Linked DNA regions of Saccharomyces cerevisiae S288C. The protein of the gene in region 2 purifies or fractionates together with the protein of the main gene of each other region. This does not show direct contact. Each region holds a gene or a part of one and is shown on either strand. Other genes may lie near its edges. The genes, in order: TAF7, TAF2, TAF10 and TAF3.

Evidence for each region.
Region 1: the proteins of TAF2 (region 2) and TAF7 purify together in Saccharomyces cerevisiae (affinity purification with mass spectrometry; 5 studies listed by BioGRID, with this or other methods). This does not show direct contact.
Region 3: the proteins of TAF2 (region 2) and TAF10 purify together in Saccharomyces cerevisiae (affinity purification with mass spectrometry; 5 studies listed by BioGRID, with this or other methods). This does not show direct contact.
Region 4: the proteins of TAF2 (region 2) and TAF3 purify together in Saccharomyces cerevisiae (affinity purification with mass spectrometry; 4 studies listed by BioGRID, with this or other methods). This does not show direct contact.

The regions. Positions count from the first base shown.
Region 1 is NC_001145.3:721,741-729,793, forward strand, and holds TAF7 (TATA-binding protein-associated factor TAF7), read right to left. Parts: upstream 2,646-8,053; coding exon 873-2,645; downstream 1-872. Other genes in the region: ORA1 (oxidoreductase), read right to left, coding at 1-656; MTF1 (RNA polymerase specificity factor), read left to right, coding at 2,886-3,911; RRP5 (Rrp5p), read right to left, coding at 4,194-8,053.
Region 2 is NC_001135.5:200,674-211,174, reverse strand, and holds TAF2 (transcription initiation factor TFIID subunit TAF2), read left to right. Parts: upstream 1-5,777; coding exon 5,778-10,001; downstream 10,002-10,501. Other genes in the region: BUD23 (18S rRNA (guanine1575-N7)-methyltransferase), read left to right, coding at 1-457; mitochondrial 54S ribosomal protein bL19m IMG1, read left to right, coding at 752-1,261; RRT12 (Rrt12p), read left to right, coding at 1,565-3,040; PER1 (Per1p), read left to right, coding at 3,225-4,298; YCR043C (uncharacterized protein), read left to right, coding at 4,531-4,914; YCR041W (uncharacterized protein), read right to left, coding at 9,932-10,264; MATALPHA1 (transcriptional co-activator mating type protein alpha), read right to left, coding at 10,206-10,501. UniProt on the Saccharomyces cerevisiae protein: Functions as a component of the DNA-binding general transcription factor complex TFIID. Binding of TFIID to a promoter (with or without TATA element) is the initial step in pre-initiation complex (PIC) formation.
Region 3 is NC_001136.10:787,896-794,370, forward strand, and holds TAF10 (Taf10p), read left to right. Parts: upstream 1-1,553; coding exon 1,554-2,174; downstream 2,175-6,475. Other genes in the region: exocyst subunit SEC5, read right to left, coding at 1-1,326; Hsp90 co-chaperone CDC37, read left to right, coding at 2,433-3,953; STB3 (Stb3p), read right to left, coding at 4,453-5,994.
Region 4 is NC_001148.4:530,785-538,003, forward strand, and holds TAF3 (Taf3p), read right to left. Parts: upstream 3,920-7,219; coding exon 2,858-3,919; downstream 1-2,857. Other genes in the region: mRNA-binding protein RRP12, read left to right, coding at 1-2,625; RET3 (coatomer subunit zeta), read left to right, coding at 4,234-4,803; RQC2 (Rqc2p), read right to left, coding at 5,036-7,219. UniProt on the Saccharomyces cerevisiae protein: Functions as a component of the DNA-binding general transcription factor complex TFIID. Binding of TFIID to a promoter (with or without TATA element) is the initial step in pre-initiation complex (PIC) formation.

The DNA.
Region 1 (8,053 bases), on a different chromosome or scaffold from region 2:
TTCTTGGCTTGTTCCTCGTTACCTCTGTATCTAACTAGTGAAAATTCAGTCTCGACTAGCCCTGGTGCAATTAGAATGACTCTAATTTTAGTGTTGATGAGCTCCTTTCTCAAACTATCAGTGAACGCCCCCACGGCAAACTTAGAGGCACAATAGATAGAACCTGTTGGGTATGCGTCTCTGCCAGCGATTGAACCCAAATTTACAATATCTCCTGAATTCTTGGCTTGGAATATGGGCAGTACAGCTTGTGTGATATTGATTAAAGCCGTGACGTTGGTGTCAAACACGTCCTGGATATCCTCCGTTGCGATCTGGCCCACACGGTCACTGCCAAGAGCCTTTCCGGCATTGTTCACCAGAATGTCAATATCCTTGAACTCTTGTGGCAAGTTTTCAATGAAGGGCTTGATTTTTTCTGCTTGAGTGATATCCAGCTGGGCCACATGAACTTTTGCGTTTGGAAACTCTTGATCAATGGTCTTCTTCAATTCCTCGAGCTTTTCTAATCTTCTAGCAGCCAAGATCAGTTTCATATCACCATTGGATGCCTCCAAGTACTCTAATGCGGTCGCCTTACCAATACCAGCAGATGCACCTGTAATGAGGACAGTCTTCTTAGCCAATCTTTCTGCAGCTTTTCTACCTTGGGACATTATCAAAATACGTTCTCAATGTTCTATTTCCCGCCTTTACTAGTGAGCTTGAACACTTTCTATGCGCCATGCTGTTTCATCTATCCTCCTTTCTTCAGCTTTTTATATCGCTCCGATAAGAAAAATCGGTGTCGTGCCTTAATATATATCAATGCTATACGTCATAGAGTAGAGTCGTATAGTGTATAAGAGTAATATATAGATGATAAAGAGAACTTACTCATCACCCTCTGCACCAAATAGCATCATCATATCGAGATCGTTCTGGTCGAGTGTTTCCTCTGCGGGGGCTTCATCAAGTTCGCGCACCACCTTGTTCTCTTGTATGTGTTCCCGTTCATGCACATTATCCTCGTCCTCATCGTTTTCTTCGTCATCCTCCTCGTCTTCGTCCACTTCATCCTCTTCCTCTTCTTCTTCCTCTTCCTCTTCTTCTTCCTCGACGTTATTTGCAGTTTCTGCGTCAGAGCGATGTTGATGTTGTTTCTGGACAGAATCTTCGGTTTGTTGTAACTGCTTACGTTTTAGTTCAGCCTCCTTCTCGAGCTTTTTAATGCTATCTATGAACCTGCTTTTCAAAAGAGGATTCGTGGCTTTACTTAATTTATGCTTGGTATGGGCCAGGGTGGTCTCTAGTTCGTTCAATTCGTCCGCAAGTAATTCAGTGTGCTGTCTGTTTTCGTCTTTTTCGTCATCAGATTCACTTTCCCCACCAGCAGCTTCAATGTCACCGTCGTCATCATCGTCATCATCTTCTCCGCCTGTGTCTTGATCCACCTCATCACCGACTTCCTCTTGTTGTTGCTCCTTGTCTCCCTCGGCACCGCTACCTTCCTCTTCACTTTCAAAAGCAGCGCCTAGGTCAAGATCCTCCTCTTCTTCTTCTTCCATTCCTTCTTCTCCCTCTTCTTCTGCACCTTGTTTTCCTACTGCCGAAGCAATTGTGTGTATCTCTTCTTTCTTTAAAGCAGGTCTAGATAAAGGCTCTCCAGGCTCCTCTTTGAAATTTTCCCAACTAGAAACACGCTCTTGCCTCGCTTGCAGTTCACTTTTATCAACCAGATCATAGCTGACCTCTTCTGCCTGTTTATCTTGCTTCAAAAGCATATCAACCACTTTTTCTACATAGTCTATTTCATTAGGGTCCATTTTCCGTCTAAATCGTCTATTTCGAACATTGTACAAAGGTGGTGATATTCCATGTTTGTAGTCATAGCCCTTCAAAGCTATTTCTTTCAAATGTTTAGCCTCCATATCACTTAAAGGCGCACCATTGTATCCTTTTAAGAAGGTTTCTTTATTCTCCCAAATTTCATCCTCTATGCCTTCAAAATGCTTAACAACCAGATCTTCTGTATCAGGGGCTTCTAGGGCATATACTTCTTCCTCTTCTTGTATAGGTCTTATGCATAGTAGCATTTGTGATACGTCAAATGTCTTCAGGAGGTTTTTTCTATCGACGCTCTTGTTCACTTCTATAACTGTAGGCAAATCTACTAGAATGGCACCATACATTACATCGTTTATTGTTACGACAGCGTGTCTCTCGTTTTTCCACTTGATACTTATCCCAGAATAATCACCTGATTCTAACGAATTTTTTACAAACTCTAACTGTATGTCTGGAAGTATCCTTAATATCACACCACTCTCTATGAGAGGGTCATCTTCAATATCAGAGGCTTCTGAGTCGTACGCTTCCCCAGGAATTCTAATAGGTTTGAGACGTAGCTTTGGCGCCTTGTGTATCTTCTTAACTGGTTCTTCATTTTTTTTCAAGTTTAACTTTAACTTCAATGAATTCTTCTTCTCTTTGCCGTCAGCACTCTCTTTCTTTTTCTTTAGGTTTATCTTTAATTTAGGCTTTGGTTTGATATCTTCATCAGTTACCTTTGTCTTTATGCGAATTCTCTTTAGTTTAGGCTCGCCTTCTAATGGTTGATCCTTCTCTCCTGGTCCTCTGGGTTTTTTAATTCTTATAACAGCCATATTTACGTCGATTATTGCGACTAATTTGAATGGTAACACTGTCTCTTGTTTATGTAGTTCTTCCTATTCTTCTCGCTTTTATTATTTTTGCTAGCAAGTTTTGTCTTGAAATTTTATTTACTGTTCTCATCGGCCGAATAACAGCGATATTATTGTATGATGATAATAGAGATGAAACTTTACAAATGCGGTTACTACGTCAGTCAATACCATTCTTTGAAGTAAGAAGGCTCAGCAACTATGTCTGTTCCAATCCCTGGTATTAAAGATATCTCCAAACTTAAGTTCTTTTATGGTTTCAAATATTTATGGAATCCAACAGTATACAATAAAATCTTTGATAAGCTGGATTTAACTAAAACGTATAAACATCCAGAAGAATTGAAAGTACTTGACCTCTACCCTGGTGTTGGTATACAATCAGCTATTTTTTATAATAAATATTGCCCCAGGCAATATTCTTTATTAGAAAAACGCTCAAGTCTCTACAAGTTTCTGAATGCAAAATTCGAAGGGTCTCCATTGCAAATTCTAAAAAGAGATCCATATGACTGGTCAACCTACTCGAATCTAATTGACGAAGAGCGAATATTTGTTCCTGAAGTTCAATCCTCAGATCATATTAATGATAAATTTCTAACCGTTGCTAATGTGACGGGGGAGGGTTCTGAAGGTCTTATAATGCAGTGGCTGTCCTGTATTGGAAACAAGAACTGGTTGTATAGGTTTGGTAAAGTAAAGATGTTATTATGGATGCCAAGCACAACAGCTAGAAAACTTCTAGCTAGGCCAGGCATGCATTCTAGATCCAAATGTTCAGTAGTAAGGGAGGCATTTACAGATACTAAACTCATTGCCATATCAGACGCAAATGAATTGAAGGGATTTGATAGTCAATGCATAGAAGAATGGGATCCCATTTTATTTAGTGCTGCGGAAATATGGCCTACAAAGGGAAAGCCAATTGCGTTAGTAGAAATGGACCCAATTGACTTCGATTTTGACGTAGATAATTGGGATTATGTCACGAGGCACTTAATGATTTTGAAAAGAACACCCTTGAATACTGTCATGGACTCGCTGGGACATGGTGGCCAACAATATTTTAATAGTAGAATCACTGACAAAGATCTGCTAAAAAAGTGTCCGATTGATTTGACAAATGACGAGTTTATATATCTAACGAAATTATTCATGGAGTGGCCTTTCAAACCAGATATTTTAATGGATTTTGTTGATATGTATCAAACAGAGCACTCTGGTTGAAAAAAGTGCTTTTAAAATTTACTTCATTATTTAATAAATATGTGATTTTAGCGTGTGAATATAAAAAATACATAGAACTCAATCTTCGTTAACACGGAACCATCTTGTAATCAAGAAGCGAGAAGCGGAACTAAAACTTTAAGAAAAGGAGCTCTACGAACCGTCAAAGCTAAATTGATCGATAGAAATTGCTTCTTGAAACTTTACATTCTATGTACTTTACAAATATACTTTACAAACTTAGCCATTTATATTACTTTACAGTTAAAAATCCATCAGGAATTATTCGTCTGCTTTTTGAGATTCATGGCTAGCGACATACTCAGTAGCTTTAGCTTTAACGTATTCAATGGTCTTTTCGTCACCTTCAGATTCCTCAAATTGTAACCATTTATTAAAGAAAAACTTAGCCTGCTTCCTTGTTATTTTTTTGGTTATTATTCTCTCAAATAAATCTTCCACCTTCTTCTTATCTTTTGCCTTCACTTCCTGGTCTACGTAAACGTTCCACAGGTCAATTCTCTTTGGCGCATCAGCAACCAAACCTTCGAATAATGACCGACCCCTTTCTGGGTCACCCTTTGCAAATTCTAATTGAGCAAACTTGCGGACAACCTCGATATGATTACGCTTTGGTAGGGCCTTCAAAGCATTACCTAAAATAGTACGTGCCTCTTGCTCTTCATTGTGGCTGATCAAAAAATCACCCCACGATACCCAGATAGAAACTTTCTCGCCGCCAAATTTCTTAGCTGTAGCTTTGAATAATTCTGCTGCTTTGTCGAACTTTTCACTTATTTCATAAATACCAAGCAGTTTTGTATGAATAGTATATGAGTCCATATACTGACAAGCCCTGCTAAACACTTCTTCTAAAGTTTCTTCGGTACCAAAAGTATTTTCTAAATTCAGCATTGCAATCCAAATATTCAACTTCTCGGCTTCTTCTCTGAAGTTGATGGTCTTTAGCGCACGTTCTGCGAGCTCTCGAGCCTTCTCGATCTCACTCAGTTGTAGTTGGAAAGCCATATAGTTCATCCACACTACGGACGAATTTGGATTACCGATAAGTAGACGTTCAAAATCGGCAACAGATTCTGGTGCCCTAGTGTTGATATCAATGGTCTTATCCTGAACAACATTTTCCTTTCTTCTCTTGTGCTTGTGTTTCTTATTTTCAGTAAAGTCTTCTTGATCTTGGTCAGACTCTTCTTCTTCTTGCGCTTGATCCAAAATGGAAGCAGTCCAATCAAAACCAGCACTCAAGGATAGCCCATCCGAAGATGTTTCAGGCTTCCTATCGGCAACTTCGGTGTTTTGGTCTCCGATATCAGATTCGCTGTCGGAATCGTTGAAGCCAGCATCTGCCATGACTTCATCTTCATCCTCCTTTTCCAGTTGATCCACAGTAGTAGTGGTGGTGGTAGTAGAAGCCAATTCGGCTTCTTTAGAGAAATGAGACGCTTTCAAGCTCAATGAAATTTGTTTTTTTTCTGGATTTGTTTTCAAAACAATAGCTTTTACTCTGTCCCCAACACCAAACAAGGCAGAAAGATCTTCAGGTTTTTTGTCCGCAATTTCAGTAATATGTGCCAAACCAGTAACATTAACAGTGTTATCTAGTTTGACGAAAACACCAAAATCAGTGACGCTTTTAATTGTACCCTCGAAAACATCACCAGCCTTAATGTCTGAATAGGTCTTTAGAACCTTTAAATCACCATTTATTTCGGATTCTCTTAGGGTTAGAGAAATACGAGAATCTTCATCGCATGTAACGACTTTTCCCAAAACGTATTGCATAGGCTTGTAAAACTTCTTCCATTCCTTCAAGTAAGAATCAGATAGTTTACTAACAGGGACAAAGGCTTCAACTTTCCTACTCAAGTAAACAAAAATACCTTTGTCATTCACATTCTTAACAATACCATCTACAATCTCGCCTTGCTTCAAATCTTCATGAGATTTGATCGAACGAGTTTTTGCAGTAGCAGGACGAAGGGATAGTTCAATTTTCTTATTCTGTTCATCAACAGATAAAACGGTAGTTGGAATGACGTTGTTAATTTTGTCTTCAAAAGCTTCCTTCAATGTTAGGGAGAAATCATTTAACGCATCCGTAATAAAGGAAATACCAGTCACTTTGTTACCAAGGTCTAACAAAACATACTTTTCAGCTATTTTTAGAACACGACCTGGCAATTCATCACCAACTTTAATTGTGGACATATTTATGTCAACATGACTCTTTCCAATGGCATTGACAAAGCCATGCTCGCGGTCAATAGAGGCAACTTTCACTTGGAGGGCTGAACCTAATGGGAAAACAGATTCAATATTTTCTGAAAAATTTGAATCGTTATCAGCTAAATCTAGTAGAGAAATTCTCGCCTTCAAAACTGGAGAAATTGTTAGCCATAGGTGGTTACCTGATGAATTGTTGACAAAGCCAGTTAACTCTTGCCCAATGTTGATTTCCTCAAGACTTTTTGTGTGCACTTCCTTAGATTTTAATTCTGATGGTTTCATGGATAATTCCAAAACGCTAGCCTTTGAGATTTTGTGTGTAATCGGCAAGAACTTATGGCTCTTGACATCGTGATTACCTATGATTTTTACCTTGATGACATCGTCTTTTTTGTAATTACTCAACGGCTGTTTCTTATCTGTAATTTCTTCATACGTGTCAAACACTTCAGCAATGTCCACTCTGCCATGCAAATTTGCCGCTAAAATAACATTCAATTGATTTTTCTTGACGCTCTTGATTTTTGCTTTAACAATACTACCAATAGACAAATCGTCCCAGCTTTTGATAGACGAATCAACAGGATCTTCGATATTAGATTCAACTTTCTTCTTCTCTTCTTTGACCTTTGGAGCTTTTAGAGATAATAGGAATTTCTGGTTTTTGTCGTCTGTTCTTAATAAATAGACGGTAACGGATTGGTTAATATAAAACGCCTTGCTGATATCAATATCCCTACTATCAACAGCGTAACTTGGTAAAACCAACCCAATGAACTTACCGTTAAATGCAACAAAGAGACCCTTATCAGAAATGGATTTAATGTAAGCGTGCATTGGTACATCTTTATTTAGATCCTTAACATCATCATATGTTAATGGAAGAGTCTCCTTTTTAGCGTCTTTAATCAGAGAACTTTTGAGGGACATATTGAAAACGCGGGTTCTTGTATCTTTATCAATTACCAAACCAGTCAGTTCAGTGCCGATTCTGAGCTTTTTCAACTGAGCCCTATTTTGTTCAATTCTGGAATCAGAGAGATGACCAACGTAGATGACACCACGCAAGCCAACATCAGGAATTTCAACAATAACAGAATCTTTGGTTTTTTCGATAACATGGACAGTAATGATTGTTCTGCCTGGAACAATATTTTCAATGGTATCTTTTTGTTGGGCAGCCTGTTCATTTGAAACTTTGCATGTGGCAATAATTCTCCTCCTGTCAGCATCGACGTCAAGAAGTTTTACTATTACTGTTTGACCGAGTCTTAAATGTTCTTCTGGTCTCTTCACAAAGACTTCTGAGATCTCAGAATTAGGTAAAAATCCCGATAAACCACCAAAAAAGGAAATGATGCAACCATTTGGTTTGAAAACTTGAATAGTTGCTAAAGTCTTTTCATTTTTTTCTTTGATATTTTTGGCGTTTTCATAAGTGGAAACCAGTGGTAATTCGTTGTCTTCAATATTAACTAATGATTTTTTCAAAGTGACATGCACATTACCTCTTGAATTAACTGATATAACTCTACCTTTAACCTTAGAACCTATCTTGAACTTCCTTTCTGGATAAACTAGCCTGGTATCTGAAATGTGTAATGGTGGAACAGAAGCCTTAAATTGCCCGTTAAATATCTTCAATTCAATACCTGAACTAGAGACGGAAGTTATTTCACAACTTGGTAATAATTCTCCGATTGGAATATCATTTGTTCTTAGATACTTTAATTTTAGGTATTTTGGATCAGTGGACAATTGATAAATGTCATCAACAGGGCTATAACCAAGGACCCTGGAACTTAAATTTTCTGAATTTTCAATTTCACCAACTCTTGAAGAATGTACTTTACCTAATCTATCATCATCCAATGCTAAGTATAGATATTCGGAAT
Region 2 (10,501 bases):
CAATGCGGACACTTCATACAACGATCCTAAACAGCGGTTGATGAGGTTTTTCAACACATTGTATGCTGCACTGAAGAAGGGAGGGAAATTTGTGGCCCAGTTCTACCCGAAAAACGACGACCAGGTGGACGACATACTGCAGTCTGCCAAGGTGGCAGGGTTCAGTGGCGGGCTTGTGGTGGACGACCCAGAGTCTAAAAAGAATAAGAAGTACTACCTTGTGTTGAGCAGTGGGGCCCCACCGCAGGGGGAGGAGCAGGTGAATTTGGACGGTGTGACCATGGACGAGGAGAACGTCAACTTGAAGAAACAACTGCGCCAGCGCTTGAAGGGAGGCAAAGACAAGGAGTCTGCCAAGAGTTTCATTCTAAGAAAGAAGGAGCTCATGAAAAGACGTGGGAGGAAAGTTGCGAAGGACTCCAAGTTCACCGGGAGGAAAAGAAGACACAGGTTCTAGAAGAAACACACATCCTCACACGCATATTCTTTTGTATACTATAAAAATACACACTTATACATTTCCCTCTGTCTCTGTCTCCTTCTACATGTATACTTGTATATGTATACTTGTATATATACACTTATATCTGTATGTGAGTGGTCAATGGCTCCGCGCACTTTTATGTAGTGATGTATTTTCCTTTTTTTCTTGGTTTTCAATTTTGGTGCTTTGGAACTCCCAGTAAAGAAGAAGAAGAAGAATCGAGTCTTCCCTCTGAGCAGCTGCTGAAAGGGAGAGAGAACCATAGCGATGTGGAGCAGGAACGTCAGATTGCTTGGATCATGGACAAGGTCCTACATGGTCCCCGCCACCAAGAGAAAAACCATCCCCGTGTACCCACCTGTGCAGCGCATAGCTTCGTCGCAGATTATGAAGCAGGTGGCCCTCTCAGAAATAGAGTCTCTGGATCCCGGGGCCGTTAAGAGGAAGCTCATCAGTAAAAAGAACAAGGACCGCTTGAAGGCAGGCGACGTGGTCCGGATTGTGTACGACTCGTCCAAGTGCTCGTACGACACCTTTGTTGGCTACATCCTTTCCATAGACCGCAAACAACTGGTGCAAGACGCCTCGTTGCTGTTGCGGAACCAGATAGCCAAGACGGCCGTCGAGATTAGAGTGCCATTGTTTTCGCCGCTGATCGAGAGAATCGACTTGCTAACCCCCCACGTCTCGAGCAGACAAAGAAACAAACACTACTACATCAGAGGTACAAGGTTGGATGTCGGCGACCTCGAGGCAGGTCTAAGAAGAAAGAAATAGGCTAGGCGCGGGTTCTGTGGCCACCCATCTCCTGTATATAAGAAAAATAGTGCGTGTATAAAATCTACGTATACTAACTATGGGTAAAGTAAACCTTTTTGTACTGTTTTCTTTTTTTTTTTTTTGGTTTCCCGTAGTGATGACGTACGTGTATAGAGAATTGAAGCGAAAATAAAAAAAACGACACAAAATATTGTTCTCATTGGCTTTTTTATTTTCTATTTTACACAGCATATAGAGGTATACTCAAGTGCTAGACATCCTCTAACATCCGCCAAGAAAAACAGCAAAAAAACACTGGTCATGAAGCCACAGTGCATACTCATCTCTTTGCTGGTCAACCTCGCATACGCAGAGGAGTATTTGGTGAGGTTCAAAAATCCCACAGCATTCCAACAATTCACTTCGAATTCCAACAGGTCATGGAGACAGTTCATCGACAACAAAATTGAGAAGAAATTCTCCATCGGATCCTTCCGCGGCGTGACCATGAACCTGTCCAAGAACTTAGTGAACAAGCTGAAGAAAAGCCCACTGGTGGCTGATATTGTGCCCAACTTCAGGTTCGAAGCTTTTGAAGGCGACAGTGTAAATAGCGCCGAGTCGAGTTATACGTTTAACGCTACCGCCAAATACTCGTACGAAGACGTCGAGGAAGAGCAAAATATAACGTATCAACCAGACGCACCCCGTCACTTGGCCCGGATTTCCCGCCACTACCAACTCCCATTCGACGTTGGGGACAAGGACCGCTACAAAAGCTGGTTCAATTACTACTATGAACACGACTATCAAGGTCAAGACGTCAACGCCTATATCATGGATACGGGTATCTTCGCGGACCATCCGGAATTCGAAGACAGAGTCATCCAGGGGATTGACTTGACCAAAGAAGGGTTTGGCGACCAGAATGGCCACGGAACGCACGTGGCGGGACTCGTAGGTTCCAAAACGTATGGAGCGGCAAAGAGGGTCAATCTTGTGGAGGTCAAAGTCTTGGGCAAAGACGGGTCTGGCGAGGCCAGTAACGTTCTTAGTGGTCTGGAGTTCATCGTGGAACATTGCACAAAGGTCAGTCGCCCACAGGGTAAAAAATGCGTGGCCAATCTAAGTCTAGGGAGTTTCAGGAGCCCCATAATCAACATGGCAGTGGAGGGGGCCATTGAAGAAGGTATTGTATTTGTTGCCGCGGCGGGGAACTTCAATTTAGACGCCTACTGGGCCTCACCTGCGTCTGCAGAAAACGTTATCACCGTAGGGGCCTTTGATGACCACATTGACACGATTGCCAAGTTCAGCAATTGGGGGCCCTGTGTAAACATCTTTGCCCCAGGCGTGGAAATTGAGTCGCTATCTCATCTGAACTACAACGACACTTTAATTTTGTCAGGTACATCTATGTCGACGCCCATTGTCACCGGAGTTGCAGCGATCCTACTCTCGAAGGGAATTGAGCCTGAAATGATAGCACAGGAGATTGAGTATTTGTCCACGCGTAATGTTTTCCATAGAAGAACGTTGTTTTTCAAGCCTTCTACGCCAAACCAGATTCTTTACAACGGCGTCGATAAACTGGACGATCCATATGACGACGAAACGTTCCCTCGATTGAACATAGAGGCAATTGCTAAGGAACTGGAGGAGTACAATGCCACTTTACAAACTCCTATGTCTGAGAATCTTCAATCTGGTTCAAAACTGTGGGGTTGGAATAACGATGTCACACTACCTCTTGGTGAGATTCGATTGAAGAGGCGTGATTTTATGAAAAATTTGTAGTGTTTTTCTCTTTCTCTCATAAATAAATTATTGCATAATGTCATGTCAACATTAGTTTTTTCGCTCTTCTCTTGCGTATTCTTGTACTTTTCATTTTTCATTTTTCATAAAGCGAATAAAAGAGCAACCTAAGGTGTGAAACCATACCCTTCGGGAGAAAAGAAACAGAAGTGTGGCAAGAAATATGAGGTTAGCTGTGGTTGTGACCCTACTTGTTCACTGTTTCCTAGTGACATGCTCTCCAGGAGATAATTTAGATGAGTTTATAGACTGTACGTATGCGTGCGAGTATAACAGAAGATGTCCGAATTCCCAAATAAACTACATTGACCCTGAAACCAACATGTTTCATGATATTGAGTTTTTCGATACCCCGCCTTTGTACTCTAAGTTATTGTTCTGGGATTGTATCTCAGATTGTGATTACCAATGTCAGCACATCATTACGCGCTGGAGAATTGACGAAGAGGAAGAAATATACCAATTCCATGGGAAATGGCCATTTTTGAGAGTATTGGGGACTCAGGAATTCTTCTCGACGATATTCAGTATAGGTAACTTTATTCCACATTATAAGGGATTTGTAAAGTTTTCTAGAATCATACGCGAAGAGGGAGATAGGAGGAGAAAAAACAGCAGAAGTATACTGATTTGGAACTACCTTTACGTTACTGTGGCGGGAATGTTGGCTTGGACAGCAAGCTCGGTCTTTCACTGTCGTGATTTGATCATAACGGAGAAGCTAGATTACTTTTTCGCAGGTTTAACTGTCCTAACAGGGTTTCATGCAATATTTGCAAGAATGACTTCCATGTTCCTGTACCCCAAGATAGCACAAGCGTTCACTGCGTCAGTTGCGGCAATCTTTGCCCTGCACATCTTGAGACTCTATGTTGACTGGTCGTACACATACAACATGAGATTCAACATTTTTTTCGGTGTTTTACAGTATATTTTATTGATAATGTTATCATGCCAAAACTACCATGCTCTGCAAAAGCAAAAGCTAATGGGCGAATTCAAGAAAACCGCGTACTCCAGCTTCAAGCGGCAAATCTTCAAACTGTGTGTCATTCCAATTCTTCTTGTGATTGTAACCACAATGGCCATGTCATTGGAACTGTTTGACTTTTTTAGTTACGAATGGCAGATTGATGCCCATGCGCTATGGCATCTGTGCACAATATGGCCCTCGTGGGTATTGTACGACTTTTTCCTCGAGGATTATGCCTATTGGGGTAATAGACAATTGTACTAAATATCTTAATTCACCTGTTTACTATCATGAATAATAGTTATATATGTATTTTTTTTTGTTTATTTTTGATTTTCTTTTACCGTTATCACATTCTGTTTATTTTTCACTTTTTTTTCGCTCTTTCTGTATGTATAGAACTAAATGCAAAAGAATATTTGTGCCAAGATAAGGCCAAGAAATTTTTGGGGCAACAGTAGGCAGTGAAAGCGCTCTTAACGTACTTTGGCAAAGGATGATCCCAGCTCCACTTGATGCTTCCTTATTGAGAGAACATGCATTCCAAGGAACTAATGATCTAAGCACAGTTTTGAGTCCAAGTACGTTTACCGATGAAGGTGGATATAAACCTGTATTGAAATACGGACTCGGTTATTTCAATTATGGACTGGTTATAGACGATGAAGTGTATGATTATTCAGTGTGTGATATCATAAGGGGTCACGTTTACGATCATTTTTGGTGTTATTTCTGTTGTTTCATGATTTTGTTTACTATCTGGTTAATAAGTTTAAATTGGTGTCCCAGCAGCAAGAAAAGCAAGTTTGATTGGAGCAAGAAGAAGGACGACTTTAAGATGGAAGGAGGTGATTTAGAGTACCAACATGTAAAGATCTAAATCTACATCGTTCTCAGGACGACTTATTACTGCTGGTTTCGAAGGAATAACAATGCATTTTTTTATCCCACCATTTTCCTCGTTTATTACAAAAAGCAATGAAATAATATGTATATGTCTACATAGAGATATTATTATAGTAATAATGCATTTTCTATTTGATTTTAATTTAATTTATTTTATTTTTTTTGGATGTTTAAAGTTGAAAATAATAAAATGATTAACTATTGACAGAGGGGTAAGTGGGGTTGTTACCTTTTTCCTTTTGGTTAAAGGAATAAATGTTTTCTTATAACATAAAAAAAGCTATAGTTATATAAACAAGGATTGCGAATTCTTAGAAACATATTCCATGGTTATTTTTTTTATTTTTTACTGCATTCAATTATTTGAAGAAACTGTCCATCAAACATAAGTTTCTTGATAATGTGCTGTTTGTAGTGAACTAGAATTGTTATAATAATATGCTGCAATTTTTATCAGATTGCTTCAAAATCTGAGTGATAATTGTATTTTTTTTATTTATTTAATCCAAGAGTTATTCTAAAATCGCACTAAAATTAGTAAAAAAATCAAAAAAAAAAAAGCTGCAGACATCTAAAATGGTTGTGAATCATTCTTGCGGATATCGTGCTACAAAATCAGTCTTATTTAATTCAATAAAATACATAGAACTTTCAATATAGTGAATATTTTTGGTATTACCTTAAGTAACCGGGTAACACTTAAATACTTTTGCCGAATGGGGCAATTGGTAAATTGCGTAAGATGAAAACTATAGTAAAATGGAACGGATGTAAAAGTATTTTTTGATGAAGTTTTGGACAGTGAAGAGGTGACAACAGGATAAATAGGTGGACTTCATGATGTCCTTTTCCAAAAACGCCACTCCTAGAGCCATTGTTAGTGAATCTAGCACTTTGCATGAGATGAAGTTTAGAAATTTTAGAGTTGCCCATGAAAAAATCTCGTTGGATATAGATCTAGCTACTCACTGCATTACCGGTAGCGCTACTATAATAATCATTCCGTTGATCCAAAACCTAGAATATGTAACTTTTGATTGCAAGGAAATGACTATTAAAGATGTTCTGGTCGAAAATCGTCGATGTGATCAATTTATTCATGACGACCCACTTCAAACAAATTTGAATGGATTGACTTCACAAAATGTATTATACAGCGACAATTCCATTGAACAGTCACATTTTTTGAGATCTAAGTTTGCTAGCTTGAATGAATACCCAGAAACGGACTCTAAATCCCAGTTAACTATAAAAATACCATCTTCCATCAAAATATCTTTGGAGGACGCCAATGCATTAAGTAATTACACTCCGATTACTCCTTCAATTAAGACTACCCCTGGGTTTCAAGAATCTGTTTTCACTCCAATTACATTACAAATTGAATATGAAATCAGAAACCCAAAGTCGGGTATTAAATTCGATACTGTGTATGCTGACAAGCCCTGGTTATGGAACGTTTACACTTCAAATGGTGAGATTTGCAGTTCTGCATCATATTGGGTCCCATGTGTCGATTTGCTTGATGAAAAATCTACATGGGAGTTAGAATTCAGCGTACCGAGATTGGTTAAAAATATAGGTACTTCGAAATTAATCGGACAAAATGGAGAAGAGAGTGAAAAAGAGAAGGAGGATACGCCTGAGCACGATGAAGAGGAAGAGGGGAAGCCGGCAAGAGTTATCAAAGACGAAGATAAGGATTCTAACTTGAAAAATGACGAAGAAGGCAAAAATAGTAAAAGCAAAGATGCACAAGATAATGATGAAGAAGAAGAGGAAGGCGAAAGTGACGAAGAGGAAGAGGAAGGGGAAGAGGAAAGGCGGAATATTGAGGAAAGCAACAATCCGAGTTTGAGGGATGTGATTGTGTGTTGTTCAGAATATTCAAATATTAAAGAACTTCCGCACCCGATTGATTTGACGAAAAAAAAATGCATATTTCAGATAATTAATCCTGTGGCTCCACATCACATTGGTTGGGCTATAGGCGCCTTTAATTCATGGTCTTTACCTTTGATATCACCTCCAAGTGTTGATGCCGAGGACGAAGTAGAGGAAGACAAGTTGAGAGAGAATGTTGTGGACAATGTTAACGATACTATGGATGACGACATTGGTTCGGATATTATACCCATTCAAATTTTCACACTTCCGACGCAGGAAACAGATGAGTTAACAGTTATAAATTCGACAGTTGTCTGCCAAAAAATTATAGATTTCTACTCGAAAGAATTTGGGTCTTATCCTTTCACTTGTTACTCTATGGTGTTTTTACCTACCGCACCTTCTAAGCATATGGATTTTGCAGCATTAGGCATTTGTAATACCAGATTATTGTACCCTCTAGAAGTTATTGATAAAGCATTCAGTACTACGAATGAGTTAGCATGGGCACTTGCTAACCAATGGTCTTGTGTGAATATAACTCCTTTAGATATGAACGACTACTGGTGCTGTCTTGGTATTGCTGGTTATATGGTGTTTCAGGTAACCAAAAAATTAATGGGTAATAACACGTATAAATATCAATTAAAGCGTAATAGTGAGGCGATTGTGGAACAAGACTTCGAGAAACCGCCTATTGGGAGCACTTTTACCGGCAGTTCTAGGCCAATATCTTGGTCTTCTAAAGATTTGTCCTTTATACAATTGAAGGCACCGATGATACTACACATACTTGACAGAAGGATGACTAAAACAGAACGATCTTTCGGTATGTCTCGAGTATTACCTAAAATTTTCCTTCAAGCTATGTCTGGTGATTTACCGAATAATTCGTTGACTTCATCGCATTTTCAACATGTTTGCGAAAGAGTTAATAAAAGTAAATTAGAGAATTTTTTCAACGAATGGGTATATGGGTCTGGGGTACCCATATTACGTGTCACCCAAAGATTTAATAGGAAGAGGATGGTTATAGAACTGGGTATAAGGCAAGTTCAAGATGAAGAACTTGGCCACGAAAAAGTGGTAGGGGAGGAAGGATTTTTCAAAAGTGCACTAGACCACTTAGAACATCCAGATTTGAACCGAACCGAATGCTTCACGGGCTCGATGACTATAAGGATCCATGAACACGATGGTACTCCGTATGAGCATATTGTGGAAATCAAAGATACATTCACAAAAATAGATATTCAGTACAATACAAAGTACAGAAGATTAAGGAAAAGAGGTGGTGGTGCAAATGATGAAAATGGTGTTGAAAACAATAATGAGGAGAAGCCTATTGTTGTGGATGTGAATTGTCTAGGAAATGTATACATGTCGCCCGAAGAGTGTTCCCGATTCAGTTTGACGGAATTTAATCGTACGTCTGAGAGTAATGAATTGCTTAAGCAAAACGAAGCATTTGAGTGGATACGCATAGACTCTGATCTGGAATGGATTTGCCAAATGCACATTAATCAGCCGGATTACATGTTTTCTTCTCAGTTGAGACAAGATGGGGACATAGAGGCCCAACTAGAAGCCATACGATATTATGAGGACGTCGTTGTTAATGGTGGTGTGAAATCACTTGTTTATTCAAGTATTTTGTTTAGAACGGCGATCGACGAGCGTTACTTTTTTGGCATAAGACTCGCGGCGTGCGAAGCGCTTAGTAAATACGTATATGATCCGGATTTTACTGGCGGTGTTAAGCATTTAATTCAGATTTTTCAGATTTTGTTTTGCCTAGAAGACTCTAATATTCCAAAGAGTAATAACTTTGAGAATCCTAAGTTGTATTTCTTACAGTGTAATATTCCCAAATATTTGGCTAAAGTGAAAAATGAAAATGGTAAATGTCCAAAATTGGTGAAGCAATTTTTACTGGATATTCTTGTTTATAATGAGAATGGTGAAAATAAATACAGTGATGATGCGTACGTCCGCAGCTTGATTGAAAATGTTGTTAAAGTTGCTTTAAATGAGTATAAAGATAAAGCATATATGGAAAAAGTTAAGACTCAGTTATTGAGGTACGAAAATTTGGTGAATTGGCTTTCATCATACGAGTCTTTGATTAAGACTACTATCATGTATGCTAAGTACAAATTGCATAAAGTGGGTGCTTATGACTTTACGGAATTGACAGGAATGATAATGCATACATTAACATTAGGTATAAATAACGGAGATATTTCCAGGGAAAGCTTTCAGAATGAGTTTTTAATGGTTTTGAAAATCATGCTTTTAGAAGGTGGTTTAAAAAACAAGGATGCCCTTGTTTTGTTTACTGAAATACTTTGCTTCCATGAGGATTCTTATATTAGGGATAAAAGTGTTGATGTGCTTTCTGAATGTGTAAATCTAGTTGTTATGGATGGTAGTTTGGATACCATAAGTGACGATATTAAGTCCTCCGTCCAATCTGTGCACAATGAAGTTAAAAATATAAAAAGTGAGGATGATATTGAGTTGTTTTTAAGTGGTCATTACGTCGATGATATGAAAATAAAAATAGAAAAGATTGGCCGTCAAAATATTAGTGGGTTAATACAAATATGCCGAGATATGTTTAAAGGGTATAGCCCTTTGAAGATATTACTCTGGGATGTTTTGAATTTACCTGTTCTTAGCTTGTACCAGAGGAAGCAAATACATGATCTTGTTAGGGTGATGTACACCCTAATCAACAGTTTTGTAGTTAGATTGGAAACACCAAGGGAGAGAAGACTTGTGGCGAAGATGAATAGTAATGAAGAAGGTAAACTTGATATTGTTATAAAGCGTGAAAGTATCCTAAAAGTACATATTAAAAAGGAAGTAACCTCTACTGTGGAGGCACCCAAGAAGGCGAATAAGATAAAGATAAGTTTGAAAGGTGATAAACCTGTTAGAAAAGTGGAAAAACAAATTGTGAAGCCGAAGGTAACTAGCAAACAAAGGAAAGTCAAAAGTCATGTGAACCGCATGGGCAGTTTACCTTTACGGTTTGTTAAGATCCAACAACAACCTAGAGTAATGGTGCATTTGTCATCCGTCCCGTATAGCCAATTCGTTCAAATTACAAAAGTCACATCAAGATCGTTTATGGTTAAGATAAGAACAAAGAATGATGCTAAGAATTGATTGTTTGCTTGAGTCTGAGTAATATCATATTTTATACAAATACATAGACATAAACAAAAGAGGCAAGTAGATAAGGGTATAGCCATATGAGTGTATAAACAAACATTGGGAACAAGAGCAAGACGATGGGGAGTTTCAAATAGGATAGCTATACTGACAACATTCAGTACTCGAAAGATAAACAACCTCCGCCACGACCACACTCTATAAGGCCAAATGTACAAACACATCTTCCCAATATCCGTCACCACGTACTTCAGCATAATTATTCGTCAACCACTCTACAAAACCAAAACCAGGGTTTATAAAATTATACTGTTGCGCGAAGTAGTCCCATATTCCGTGCTGCATTTTGTCCGCGTGCCATTCTTCAGCGAGCAGAGAAGACAAGACATTTTGTTTTACACCGGAGCCAAACTGTGAGTAATATGCTCTAAAAGCCATAAATGAGTTTAAATATTTCTTTGAAGATTTTATAGATGTCTTATTGAACTGTCGAA
Region 3 (6,475 bases), on a different chromosome or scaffold from region 2:
GCTGGTTCCAGAAATGGTGTTAACTTTATTGGGTTCAACGGTACTTTTCAAACCTTCACTATCCTTGCCCGTATCACTTATTATTTGGAATAATTGATTGATTTTCAAATAATACGACAGCTCCACGCACCCTTGACTTTTATCTTGATTAGTATTGTTTTGTAATATAAGCCTTTGAGAATGAATGATTTTACTAATCATATGGCCAGACAACTCGTTCAGTTCATTCTGAAAGCCATTCATTTTGATGGACATCCATCTTAGGATTGGATTTTCATTGGATGATGAAGTTGTGTTCTTGTTACCACTTTCACTTTCTCTTTGATTATTATTGATAAAGTTTTCTAAGTTCAACAATTTTGAAAAGAGGGACAAAATTGTTTCTTGGGGTTGGTCAATGTTAAAATTTGAATTTATTAAACTGTTCCAAATCAGATCTTTATACGTGACTAATAAATTTTCTATTTGAGTCCAAATTCTTTTTATAACAAGAGATTGTGAAGCATCTGAACTCTGGTTGAAACGGCGACGGAGCGTAAGACCTTTTGAATATTCGATAATGAACTCATTGAAATCGTTGTTAGTCAAACATCTCTTTAAAGATTTGGGTAGGTTGAAGTAAAACTTATTCAATTCAATAAATTTTTTGGTGGCCTGGTAATTCAAAATTTTCTGATAGTTATCCATTAGCGGTTTCAGTTTGAAAGTTGTTGTTCTAATAACCTCGTCGACCTTTTTATTTAAGCTTTCCACATTTATTTGATTTTCTTTTGGTGAATCACATTGGTTTTTTTCATTCGTTTTCTCGTCAAATTCTTTGTAAATTTGGTCTAACTTGTTTTTAATCTTAACATACTTGGTGAAATTTTTACCAACCAATTGTTTCAAATGTATAGATTGGTCTTGTATATCACTGTCCAACCTGTCCAGTGAGTTATTTAGATCATTGAAAGAGTCTTGTTTGTGCATATCTCTCAGAAAGGCTTTGACGTTGAATTGTTTACTGTTGACAAGATAGTTCAACCGCATTGAATCATTTGGTAGATGTTGCAATTCTTTAGACATTTCTTGTCCATTCAAGGGATCTCTAATATAACTTAACGACTCATCGTTTAAATATGCTCTCGATTCCTTGTCAATGCTAATTTGATTGCCATATTTGAAGTCTTTTAATATGTCGAATGACGTTTCAACGCCAAGTTCATTGCTTGTAGCCTCTTCATTATTCAATTTTGAGGAATCTTGGGCCCAGGAATGGGTCGGATTAATAGTCTTCAACTGATAAAAACGAAGTAGTTGCTCGTCGCCAATTTGAAACCTATCCATGGTACCAAACTTTTTTTCGCTACTTTATTTCAACAGAAACTTCTTTCCTAGTTTAGCAGCTTTAACGCAGCTTATTTTTGTTACTTTAGTTGAATAGTAGGAGTTGATACTTTTGTTTTTTCAAGTTGAAAACAGAAACGAAAAATTAAAGAAGCTGCAGATTCAGCATTCATGCCTAAGCTAAAAAGAACTGGCAGCGAAGAACAGAGGAAAGAATAACTGAAACTATGGATTTTGAGGAAGATTACGATGCGGAGTTTGATGATAATCAAGAAGGACAATTAGAAACACCTTTTCCATCGGTTGCGGGAGCCGATGATGGGGACAATGATAATGATGACTCTGTCGCAGAAAACATGAAGAAGAAGCAAAAGAGAGAGGCTGTAGTGGATGATGGGAGTGAAAATGCATTTGGTATACCCGAATTTACAAGAAAAGATAAGACTCTGGAGGAGATTCTAGAGATGATGGACAGTACTCCTCCTATCATTCCCGATGCAGTAATAGACTACTATTTAACCAAAAACGGGTTTAACGTAGCAGATGTACGAGTGAAACGACTTTTAGCACTTGCTACTCAGAAATTTGTTAGTGATATAGCTAAGGATGCCTACGAATATTCCAGGATCAGGTCTTCCGTAGCGGTATCTAATGCTAACAACAGTCAGGCGAGAGCTAGGCAGCTATTGCAAGGACAGCAACAGCCTGGCGTGCAGCAGATTTCACAACAACAACATCAACAGAATGAGAAGACTACAGCAAGCAAAGTTGTTCTGACGGTGAACGATCTCAGTAGCGCTGTTGCTGAATACGGGCTCAATATAGGTCGCCCAGACTTTTATCGTTAGTGGCTAACAAATGGAAATGAAATATGTATATAGTGTAGCAGTATGCAACTCTTTTAAATACACGATTCGTTATTAGATTGATTAGAGCACTTATTCACGCAAATTTGACACGCTTTTTGAACATCCGTTTTTCACGATTTTTTACTGAAGGATCATGAAAGATTGCCACATAAGAGAACACCTCCGTTGCACCAACACTTCATCACGATAAAAAAACTATCGAGCTATCGTACTACGGAACAACTACATAAGTCAAAAATGGCCATTGATTACTCTAAGTGGGATAAAATTGAACTATCAGATGATTCTGATGTCGAGGTGCATCCTAATGTGGACAAGAAATCGTTCATTAAATGGAAACAACAGAGTATCCATGAACAGCGATTCAAAAGGAACCAAGATATCAAAAATTTGGAGACACAAGTGGATATGTATTCTCATTTGAACAAACGAGTGGACAGAATTTTGAGTAATTTACCTGAAAGTTCTCTTACTGATTTGCCAGCCGTTACCAAATTCTTGAATGCAAATTTTGATAAGATGGAGAAAAGTAAAGGGGAAAATGTTGATCCTGAGATTGCAACATACAATGAAATGGTTGAAGATCTTTTTGAACAATTAGCAAAAGATTTAGACAAAGAGGGCAAAGACTCGAAGAGCCCATCTCTCATAAGGGATGCTATTTTGAAACATAGGGCTAAGATCGATTCAGTAACTGTAGAGGCTAAGAAGAAATTAGATGAATTATACAAGGAGAAAAATGCACACATTTCATCTGAAGACATTCATACAGGCTTTGATAGTAGCTTTATGAACAAGCAAAAGGGGGGGGCTAAGCCACTGGAAGCAACTCCTTCAGAAGCTCTTTCGAGCGCTGCAGAGTCTAATATTCTTAATAAACTAGCAAAATCATCAGTTCCGCAAACTTTCATCGATTTTAAAGATGATCCTATGAAACTGGCCAAGGAAACTGAAGAATTCGGTAAAATATCCATTAATGAGTACTCAAAATCTCAGAAATTCTTACTGGAGCACTTACCTATTATTTCAGAACAACAAAAGGACGCCTTAATGATGAAGGCCTTTGAGTATCAGTTACATGGTGACGATAAGATGACTTTGCAAGTCATTCATCAATCCGAATTGATGGCCTACATTAAGGAAATCTACGACATGAAGAAAATTCCATATTTAAATCCAATGGAACTATCAAATGTCATTAATATGTTTTTCGAGAAGGTTATCTTCAACAAGGACAAGCCAATGGGTAAAGAGTCTTTTTTGAGATCAGTTCAAGAAAAATTTTTGCACATTCAAAAACGTTCCAAAATTTTACAACAAGAGGAAATGGATGAATCGAATGCTGAAGGAGTAGAGACGATTCAATTGAAATCTCTAGATGATTCTACAGAATTAGAAGTAAACTTGCCAGACTTCAATTCTAAAGATCCAGAAGAGATGAAAAAGGTTAAAGTTTTCAAAACTTTAATACCGGAAAAAATGCAAGAAGCCATAATGACCAAAAATTTGGATAATATTAATAAAGTCTTTGAAGATATACCAATTGAAGAGGCTGAGAAACTTTTGGAAGTGTTTAATGACATTGACATTATTGGAATAAAAGCGATCTTAGAAAACGAGAAAGACTTTCAAAGTTTGAAAGATCAATACGAACAGGACCATGAAGACGCCACTATGGAGAATCTGTCCTTAAACGACCGTGATGGTGGCGGAGATAACCATGAAGAGGTCAAACATACTGCCGACACTGTTGACTAGAAATTTATGTAGCTATTTTACTGGTGCAGCGTGCATCTACTTCCTTTTTTATTGTTATTTTCATTTATACATAATACAAAAAAAAAAAAGAAGAAAATTAATGATCAATAAAGAAAATCGTGAAATTACAGCAGAGGTTTTGTACCTGCTTTCCTACGTTAGTACATAATATCTTATTTTTTATTAGTGCATGTTTTTCTCAGTGTGTGTTTTTGTAATTTGTATATACTACACAAAGAATCGGAAGGGTAAAATGTGAAAAATACTGGGTCTTTTGAAATATATTGAACGGGCTAATATATGAAATGAATATGAAAAGAAGAAAAAAATGTGACAAGAAAAAAGTGGTGACAAAAAAGACAAAATAATTATTCAGAGATGATAAACTTAAAGCAAAACTTGGTAACAAACTTTCATTAAAACAAAATATGTATTCTTTTTTCATTTTCATTTTTTTTTTACTGTTTTTTTGTTATTTCATGGAACTGGTAAAGAATTCTTAAGATTTTAAGCTCATTAATAAAAACGCAGCACTATTGTCTTCCCCATTTCTTGGCTGCTGTTCATGTTTCTGTTGGTCGTGTTGTAGGGGAGGCTCAATATCTCCATTCTGAGAGTTAGTAAAACTTGGATTTGTAGGTTTAGGGCTAACTACGCCATTAGTAGAACTTGCTACGCTGTCTATGTTAGGTGCTAAACTGTTATTTCTCAGAGAAGCTGCACCAATTGATTCCCAGTCTTCTTCGTCTGTATCTGAGTGAGGTTGATGATGAGAATGGGGAACAAGTTGTGGCGACGATTCCCCATTCAGGTGTTGTGAAGCTACTCTATGTTTCTCCTTGTCCGATAATACTATCGGATTTGAACTTACATTCATCTGTTCTTCTAGCTTAGGGGAGGTGGAAACCGACGTAGCTTTAGAGTTAGGGTTTGTAGTGACGATCAAATAGTTTTTGTTTGGGAAAAGTGTCGATCTAATACTTGATTCTTTCGATACAGACAGACGAGAAGCTCTTCTTGAAGTTGGCTCACTTGTCGCAGTAAGTTTCTCTAAATCTATCTTCGCCTGGTTTGAGTTACTGTTGTTATTTGATGGGGTTGTCGTTGAGGTTGTATTGGGGGAAAGGTAGGATGAATCTTGGTGTGTGTTTAGTTTGGAAATGAAAGGTGTATGTGGTTTTATGCTCGAACGGCGTCTATTTCTTAATAGCGGTCTAATCTTTTGTGCTATTATTTCATGCTCAATATTCTCGGGAGTTGAATCGGCGAACACAACTTGAGACCTTCTCCTGCCGAAACTATAGGGATCACCATTTGAAGATTTTCCAAAATTATTACTGCTGTTCCTCGATTTGTTTTGGTAATGTAAATGATGGTCATCTTCATCAAACTCCTCATCCTCATCTTCCGATGCTAGCGCATTTTCATCTATATATACTACGTTTGCTGCTGCAAGTGGAGATTTGCTGCGTTTGATATTAACAGGAATGGTGGTGGAAGCAACAGCGGTAGGCGGGGTGGTGGCTCCATCGATATTCGTGATATTATGCTCAACTTTCATAGGCATTTCAACTTTGCCGCCTGAATTAGAATTTGAATTGTTGCTTTTCCTTCTTTGACTCTCTTGAGAAATCAAGTCTTTCACCTTTGCATTTGCAAAATTGGTCGCTTCCAGCTCCTTATCAAAGTTGGCAGGGTCTACTCTTTTCGCGGACCATTGACCCCATCCAATTTTTTCAAATACCACTGATTTTTCTTTATCACCACTTTCCATAGCACTCATTATAAGTCGTCTTTGCTTGGAAGATGATAAATCTTTAAAACAGGGAATATCTAGGCATAAGGTCTGTGTAATGTGTCTAATGGCCAATGGTCCCATTTCTAGTAATAAAGTGGACAGTTTCCCGGGCGTAACTCTTTGAGCGGCTGCTAACCCAGCGGGTGATGATGTGGAGATAGGTTTGGAAAATATACTAGAGCTTGCCTCGGATTTGACCGATATGGCTTGAGGAGGCGATACCTCCTTTTGGTTTTCTGACATTATTAGTGGTAGTCTGAAATAATGTCTTTTTATTCAAAATTTCAATTTATTAGAAAAGCACAAAGCAGGAGCTTGGCGTTTGTACACCGAATGATTCAGATGATACTATACTCTTTTTCCTTCTTTTCAGCGGAAATTTAGTAACGGTCTTTAATCGTGTTTACAAGTGGTTACAAATTCACGTGCTCCGATTGGAAACTGGTTATTGACACGACTCTTGAAAATCTCAGTTCGCCCTTTTTTGCGATAAATTTAACGTGCTTCTGATCAGGATTGCCAGGCACCGTTTGCAATCAGTGTCTTTTATAATCGATTTGTCTTGGATATGGATGGTATTACCGTACCTGTATCTTTATATTATAGCGTGGATTGCGTGAGATTGTGTGGAGATGAACATGAGAAGGATAAAGACTATCTGAAATAGTTCACTCTTCGGTTACTAAGGTAAGGAAGGCGCCTCTACCCTCTCAGCGCGCACGTG
Region 4 (7,219 bases), on a different chromosome or scaffold from region 2:
CCTGGTGTATTTCACATTATGTGCACATATTTAGCTAGTGAAACTCCAGAAGTGTACCAAGCTGCCTCTCAATGTCTTATCTCAATCCTTTCTGAGTCTGTTAAAGATGATTTGTTATTGTATACACCAAGTGTGGATGAGAAAGTTTTCAAAAACGTAGATGAAATCATCTCTCAAATTGCGAAAACATTTATCGACTTTTTATCCATTAGATATTCCCATTGTTCCAGAGAAATTCTTAAGATTTTGGTGGCAGCATTCAACAAATTCAGATATAGATCTAATCCTCACTTTTTAAAATCACTGAAAATAGTCGATACATGGAGAGTAAATGAAGAACAGTTTATGGATTTGAGAAATGAAATCGAATTAGTAATCGGAGCCTCCATTTCTGCTATGGGCCCTGAAATGATACTCGCAGAAGCACCCCTGAATTTAGACAATCCATCTTCCGAAAGACCTGGCAGGGCTTGGTTGTTACCGCTTATTAGAGATTATACGAAAAATGCGAACCTTGCAACTTTTCAAAACGAATTGGCACCATACATTAAAAGTTTTCAATCTAAGTTCGATAAAGTCCCGGAAGAATCTATTCAATTGAGAGTTTTTCAAACTATTGTTGACCAAATCTGGTCTACACTTCCACGGTTTTGTGAACTCCCAATGGACTTGAGGGAATCCTTCACTGACGAATTTGCCTCAGAACTATCTTCTTTATTATACAGCGAGGTTGAGTTAAGAACTACAATTTGTCATGCTTTAAAGGTCTTGGCAGAAAGCAATGTTTCATATGCCGAAGAGTCCTCTTCTCACAACGTTTTATTGTTGCAACGTTTCCCCATTTCTGAAGCTCAAAAGAATATAGAATACCTTTCAACCAAATCAACGAATCTTCTAGCAGTTTTGTTCAATGTTTATACTCAAACCACTCCAAATGCAAGGAGTTATATTTTGGAAACGATTGATCAATATTTAAAGATTACTTCAAAGGAAGATTTGGAGAAAACTTTCAACAACGTATGTGGTCTTTTGAAGAATTCTATGAATGAAGAAAGTAGCGGAAATGTGAACAAAGAAAAGAAAAAGCCTCAATTGACAGCGACACTATTGGACTTAATCATATGTATGATAACATACTTACCTGTCTCGTCTTATTCTGCTTTATTCTCAATGTTTAGCCTCACCGTAAATTCTGCTGACGCGCTAATTCAAAAAAGAGCTTATAGAATTATTACAAAGCTTTCTGAGTTGAAATCGGGATCAACAGCTGTCGCCCAATTCATTTCGGATATTGAGAATGTCATGGTAGATAGCGCCTCCTCTGTTCAAACATCTGCTAAAGCTGCAAGATTAACAGCAATTAAAACCATAGTAGAATTATTACCTTTAGATCATCTTGATTTCATTGTTAGAACCGTCGCTGAGGTTATTTTGAGTACAAAGGATGTGAATGAAAAATCTAGAGAGACCGCTTTTGATACTTTAATTTGTATGGGAAGAAAAATGAATGAGCCAAATGGTATTATCAAATTATTCCAAATACCAGGTTATGATCCTACCACTCCAGATCAATCGTCGTCAATATCAGAGTTTTTTAAGATCATTTCTGCCGGTCTTATTGGTGAATCTCAACATATGGTTAGTAGTTCAATTACGGGTTATGCTTGTTTAGTTTTTGAATTCAAAAATGAACTCGATTCCGGTATACTAATGGATATATATGACACCATTGAATTGTACTTAACTTCTAACTCTAGGGAAATTGTAAAAAGCGCCATTGGGTTTACCAAGGTTTGTGTTTTGGGGCTTCCAGAAGAACTGATGAGGCCAAAGGTGCCAGAGTTACTTCTAAAGTTATTAAGATGGTCTCACGAACACACTGGTCATTTCAAAGCCAAAGTCAAGCATATTATTGAAAGATTAATAAGGAGATTTGGATATGACTACATTGAAGCCAACTTCCCTGAAGAAGATAGGAGATTATTAACAAATATAAGAAAGATGCGCAATAGGAATAAGCGTAAAGATGAAGAAGTTACTACTGGAGTTAGTGATGTAGCTGCCACAAAGGGTTCAAGATTTATGTCTGCATTCGATGAAGCTGTTTATGGGTCTGATGAAGAAAATGATAATGGATCAGATCAGGAGGAAAATGTTGCTGGTGGCAAAATGAAGAATGGGGCAAAGCAATTTATTGTAGAATCCGGTGACAACCCACTAGATTTGTTAGATTCTCAAACACTAGCTCATATATCATCTACCAGACCAAAGAAATTCAATAAGAATCAAAATAGAGCAAGGTTTAATGATGATGCGTTTAACTTTGACTCAGAAGGAAAACTCGTTGTCAAGGGGCAACCTAAACCCTCTACTAATGTAGACGATCCATTGAGTGCTGTGACAAGCGGAATCAATGCGTATCTAGAGGCTGTGAAAAGTGGTCCTGTAAGAGGTCAAAGAAACAAGCTGAAATTCAGGAAAAATGGAAAGGACTCTGATGAATTTGGCGATGATGATGATGGTGAAAAGGATAGTAGGCTAATGAGAGGAAGAGTAAATCAAGGTAACAAGATTGGCAAACATAATAAGAAAGGTCCAAAGTTCAAATCTAGAAAAAAATTATAGAAGATTGAAACTGAGCAATATGGCTAATTACACACCTGGAGAAAAAATCAGATATGTATATATAAGAATATTATAATACTGTATATTAAAAATGATTAAAATAAAGAAAAAAATGAATCGGGCGTTTAATTGCTTATTATCTTGAAGAAGCGAAAGTACACTATATAGTAATAATGTGAGGTTAATTAAATATGGATGAGATAATGACGAAAGAAAATGCAGAAATGTCGTTTTAAAAGTAACCCCCATAATCTAGTGAGGTTCGACGTTGAAATGTGCTGTCCATATCTTCCTGCTCTGCCCATTTAGTATCAACATTTGAGTCGAATTGAAACATTGATATGTCACGGTCATCACCATGAGGAGACTCTGTTAAACTTTTATTGTTCTCTTTAAAACTTTCCTCATTGTTATTTTCTTGAGACTTTTGGTTAGGGCCTTCCACTTCGCCAAGTGATTCAAGCTCCTCATCCTCAAATGAAAGAGTTATATTTTCTAACCTATTTTCTTTTCTCATTATCGGCAGTTTGCTAGTTACAAATGGATTTTCTTGGATCTCTGTTAAGGCATCCTCATCTCTTGGGGTCATCGCCGAAGGCATCCTATCTTCGTTTGTTATGGTAGTGTGGTGATGGCGGCTTAGAATGGAAGATTTATAGCCTGCAATATGTGGTAAAGCCGGTACATTTTGAGATTCTTTTTTGGAAGCTCTTTCAATCATGTTTATACGTTGTCTAGCAATGACTAATTTGATCCAATCATCTAATCCATTATTATTTATTAGATCTTCTATCAACTCTGTTTTTCTATTCTTTGTTTCTAATTTCTGTTTCGCACCCTTGTTTTGCAGTAATTGATTGAGATAGTCAGGTATTGCTGACAAAGGATCAGATTCTTTTTCCTCACTTTGTAGTAATTCTACTGTGGGTAAGGCAGTTATTCGCGCGTCGGTCAATTGAGTACTATAAATACACCAGTCCTTGAACTTTTCCATTCCTCGTGAACTTGATAATTCGGAGTTTTCATCATAGACATCCAGAACGTTCGTAGGCTTAACAATACCTAGATTTTCCAGAGCCAGAGTTATATCTTGTAAAGCAATTGTATCGTCCTGATCACATCTTGCCTGAGCGATAGAACTGACCTCTGATGCTAACAAACTCAAGAATTTTGCATAGAGATCGGTCATGACATCCACCAGACTGGGCCTTGCCCTGTCAAATCCTTGTGCCTTCAATAATTGGAGAATAGATATGCGTAGTAGAGCAAAATAGAAGTCATTATTTGTAGTCATAGCAGAGGAACTCTATTGACCCAAAGATATCGCTGTTTTCCGCTAGTAGGTGATTTGGAATTGCTCAGGAAGCTACTTCAAGTGTTATATTAGCATACCTTCATCATGCAATATGAAATTACTGAAAAAAAAAACTAAAGCATCGCGAGCTTACCCGTTTCGCCACTTCTGTCAAGTGAAAAAACACGTTTGCATTGTTTAGGCTACAAGGTGTGGAATATCGAAGTTATTGCTAGACAGAAGTTCTTTAGGCATTTAGGTTTTGTTTGTGAGCTGGCTTGCTAATTTTGAGTACTGTGCATCATTGTTCCAGGATGTCTTCTTTATCGCTATATACTGTTCAGGCTGTTTTAATACTAGATCAGCAAGGAGAACGAATTTATGCAAAGTATTATCAACCTCCTCATAGATCTGATGAAGGACACCAATTGCTCTTCAATTCGGTGAAGAAGCAAAAAGAGTTTGAGAAACAACTATACCGTAAGACTCACAAGCAAGATTCGGAGATTTTAATCTTCGAGGATCATTTAGTCCTTTACAAAGAATACATTGATATCACGATATATTTAGTTGCTTCGCTGGAAGAGAATGAAATTGTTCTTCAGCAAGGATTTTCAGCAATCAGAGGAGCTTTGGATTTGATTTTGAACTCAGGAATGGACAAAAAAAACATCCAAGAAAACTATGATATGGTTTTATTAGCTATTGATGAAACCATTGATAATGGTGTTATCCTCGAAACTGACTCTAACACTATTGCATCCAGAGTTTCTAAACCACCTACGAACGAACCCCAAATGGCATTAGATTTGGATAAGGGTTTCTTAGGCGCGTGGGGTTTCGCAAAGAGCAAGTTTCAAGAAAGGTTACAGCAAGGCTTATGATCACAAGGCAAAGCGGATAGAAGAAAATTTTAGCTGGTCTTATATGGTATATATGCAGTGTCTTACTTTCTCCCTTCCATATATATGTATCTACTTATATATATAAGTATATGTTGCTCATTTAGAAATGATTGTCACCTCATGCTAATCATTTTATTCTTCTCGTTGGTCTGTGATGAAAAATAATGAAAAAATTATAATTGCTGTCTATTTTCTTTTCATCTCATATGATTTAGCGTTTTTTTTTGCCCTTCTTCGAAGAGTTACCACCGTTCTTGGTGGATTTCTGCCCAGCGATTGTTACTTTTAACTTGTCGACACAGAGCAGAAGAACCAAGTCCTGTTCCTTCAAGCCTTTAATCATTTCATGTTCTTGGGGCCAATCCATTTCGTTGTCAGTTGAAGAACCGTCTAGTGGTCTACTCTTGAAATAATGTAAAATTTCAGTTAAAGTCTTAGTTTTCTTCGCACTTCCCGGTTGTATTTTGACTTTGTATTTATATTTCAAAAGCGCAGGCCAGGGGGCAAATACTGGTATAATATCATCAACCACATCGCCCTTATCGAGAGATGGTTTTAATTCGGACTTGTGTTTATCATAGTTCACTCTTGCTTTCTCTTTTTTGGTGAATTTTAAAGCCTGTAGTCTTCTTTGTTTCTCGCGTTTATTCTTTCTATCTTCTCTAACTTCTCGCTTCATTATTTCTTCTTTCTTCCTTTGTTGCTGCTTTTCGATACCCTTCAAAGTACCCAAGGCCTCCAAACGCAAGAGACGTTCAGTTTCATCCTGGTCGGCGTATTTCTTTTGAATTTTCTTCAATTTTCCTCTTTTACCACGGACGTTACTGTTTATGTTTTCGATTAAAGATATCGGAACACCTGGTTCATCAAGGATACGCTGCGTACTGCTATTGTCATTTTTGGCTTTAGCATTTCCAGAATCAGAGTCGGTATCGGATGATATGGTGCAATGCTTTTCGATGTCTTTTTCAAGATTATCGTGTTCAAAACTGTTGTTTTTCGTGCTATCGTTTGAATCTCCACCCTTCTCTAACCCATTGACCTCGTTACTATCGTCTTCATCTTGCTGTTGCTCTTCTTCTTTTTCTTCTTCTTCTTTTTCTTCTTCTTCTTCTTCTTCTTCTTCTTCTTCTTCTTCTTCTTCTTCCTCTTCTTCTTCTTCTTCTTCTTCGTCATCATCACCATTATCCTCATTTCCACTGGTTTTCACTTTCCATAAAAATCCAAAACCCATCACAAGTTGAGCAGGGGGTAAATGGTTTTGATCATTCTCATTTTTCAACCGAAAGGCACCTTCTGGCAGAATGGAGTTATCAGAGCCATCGAATTTACTAACATTCTTTGCAAAGCACCACCATGGAGAAGAAGATATCTTCTTCGACCAAGCCTCGCTTGAGGACATGCATAGTATACCCGCTTGCATCAAAGTGTTCGGTGGAACTTCTGTTTTTTCTGGATTTTTGATCCATACATGAGAGTTAAAACTATTGGACATATAAATATCATCATCTTCAATATATTTTGAATAGATTTGATCTGTCTCAGCCGGACTTTTACCCATCATGACCAAAAATCCTTCACTTGAAATAAACCAACTATATTTTTCAAAAAAGTAAGGAGTGCGGATCTTTTTTAAGACACTGTGAGAATCTTTTAGCTTTTTTTTCAATTGTTGATCAATTTTGACTTCAATATTCTTCATAGCCTTGCCGACATTCTTTTCGACTTTTTTCTGCTTTTGAGCACTTGTTTTTTTGATATTGAAATATTCAGTGGCATTGGCATAAGCTGATAAACCAAGGTCAATTGTAACGTTTATCTTTTCATTAGATTTTCTTTTCATACTTTTTGTACTCCTCTCCTTCGAACTCTCCATGTCTTCTGAGTCTGAGTCACTAGAACTATCAGTAGTATTGCCTTCTGATTCATTGTCCTCGTCTGAAGAAGTGTTGAGTTCCTTGCTAGAGAGATCAAGCTTGACGCTAATTTTGTTCTGTTTCAAGTTCAAAGGCAAGTTCAAAAGCTGAGCAATTCTGTTGCCTTTTTTTTGTTCACTTTTAATTAGTTTCTCAATAGTGTTCCAGTCCATTTGTTGATCGATTAGACCCTGAACAGCAAGCTTAACTTCCTCTATTAAGGGTGCATTTTCAATTATGAGATGGCCTTTCCTTTCATTTAGTTCTTGGACGTCTAATAAAGCTTGTATTTTTCTATCATTTTCGGCACGAGCATCATCGATTTTCTTTTGCGCTTGCGATTCCTGATTTTGTATACGTAGAGCATACTTAGAGGATTCTATTGTTGAGAAAAATTTGTCTAGCGTCCTATTGTAAGGACCTTCAACTTCAATGATACAAGAAGAGTCAGTGTCTCCCCCATTTATATATGGCTTAAA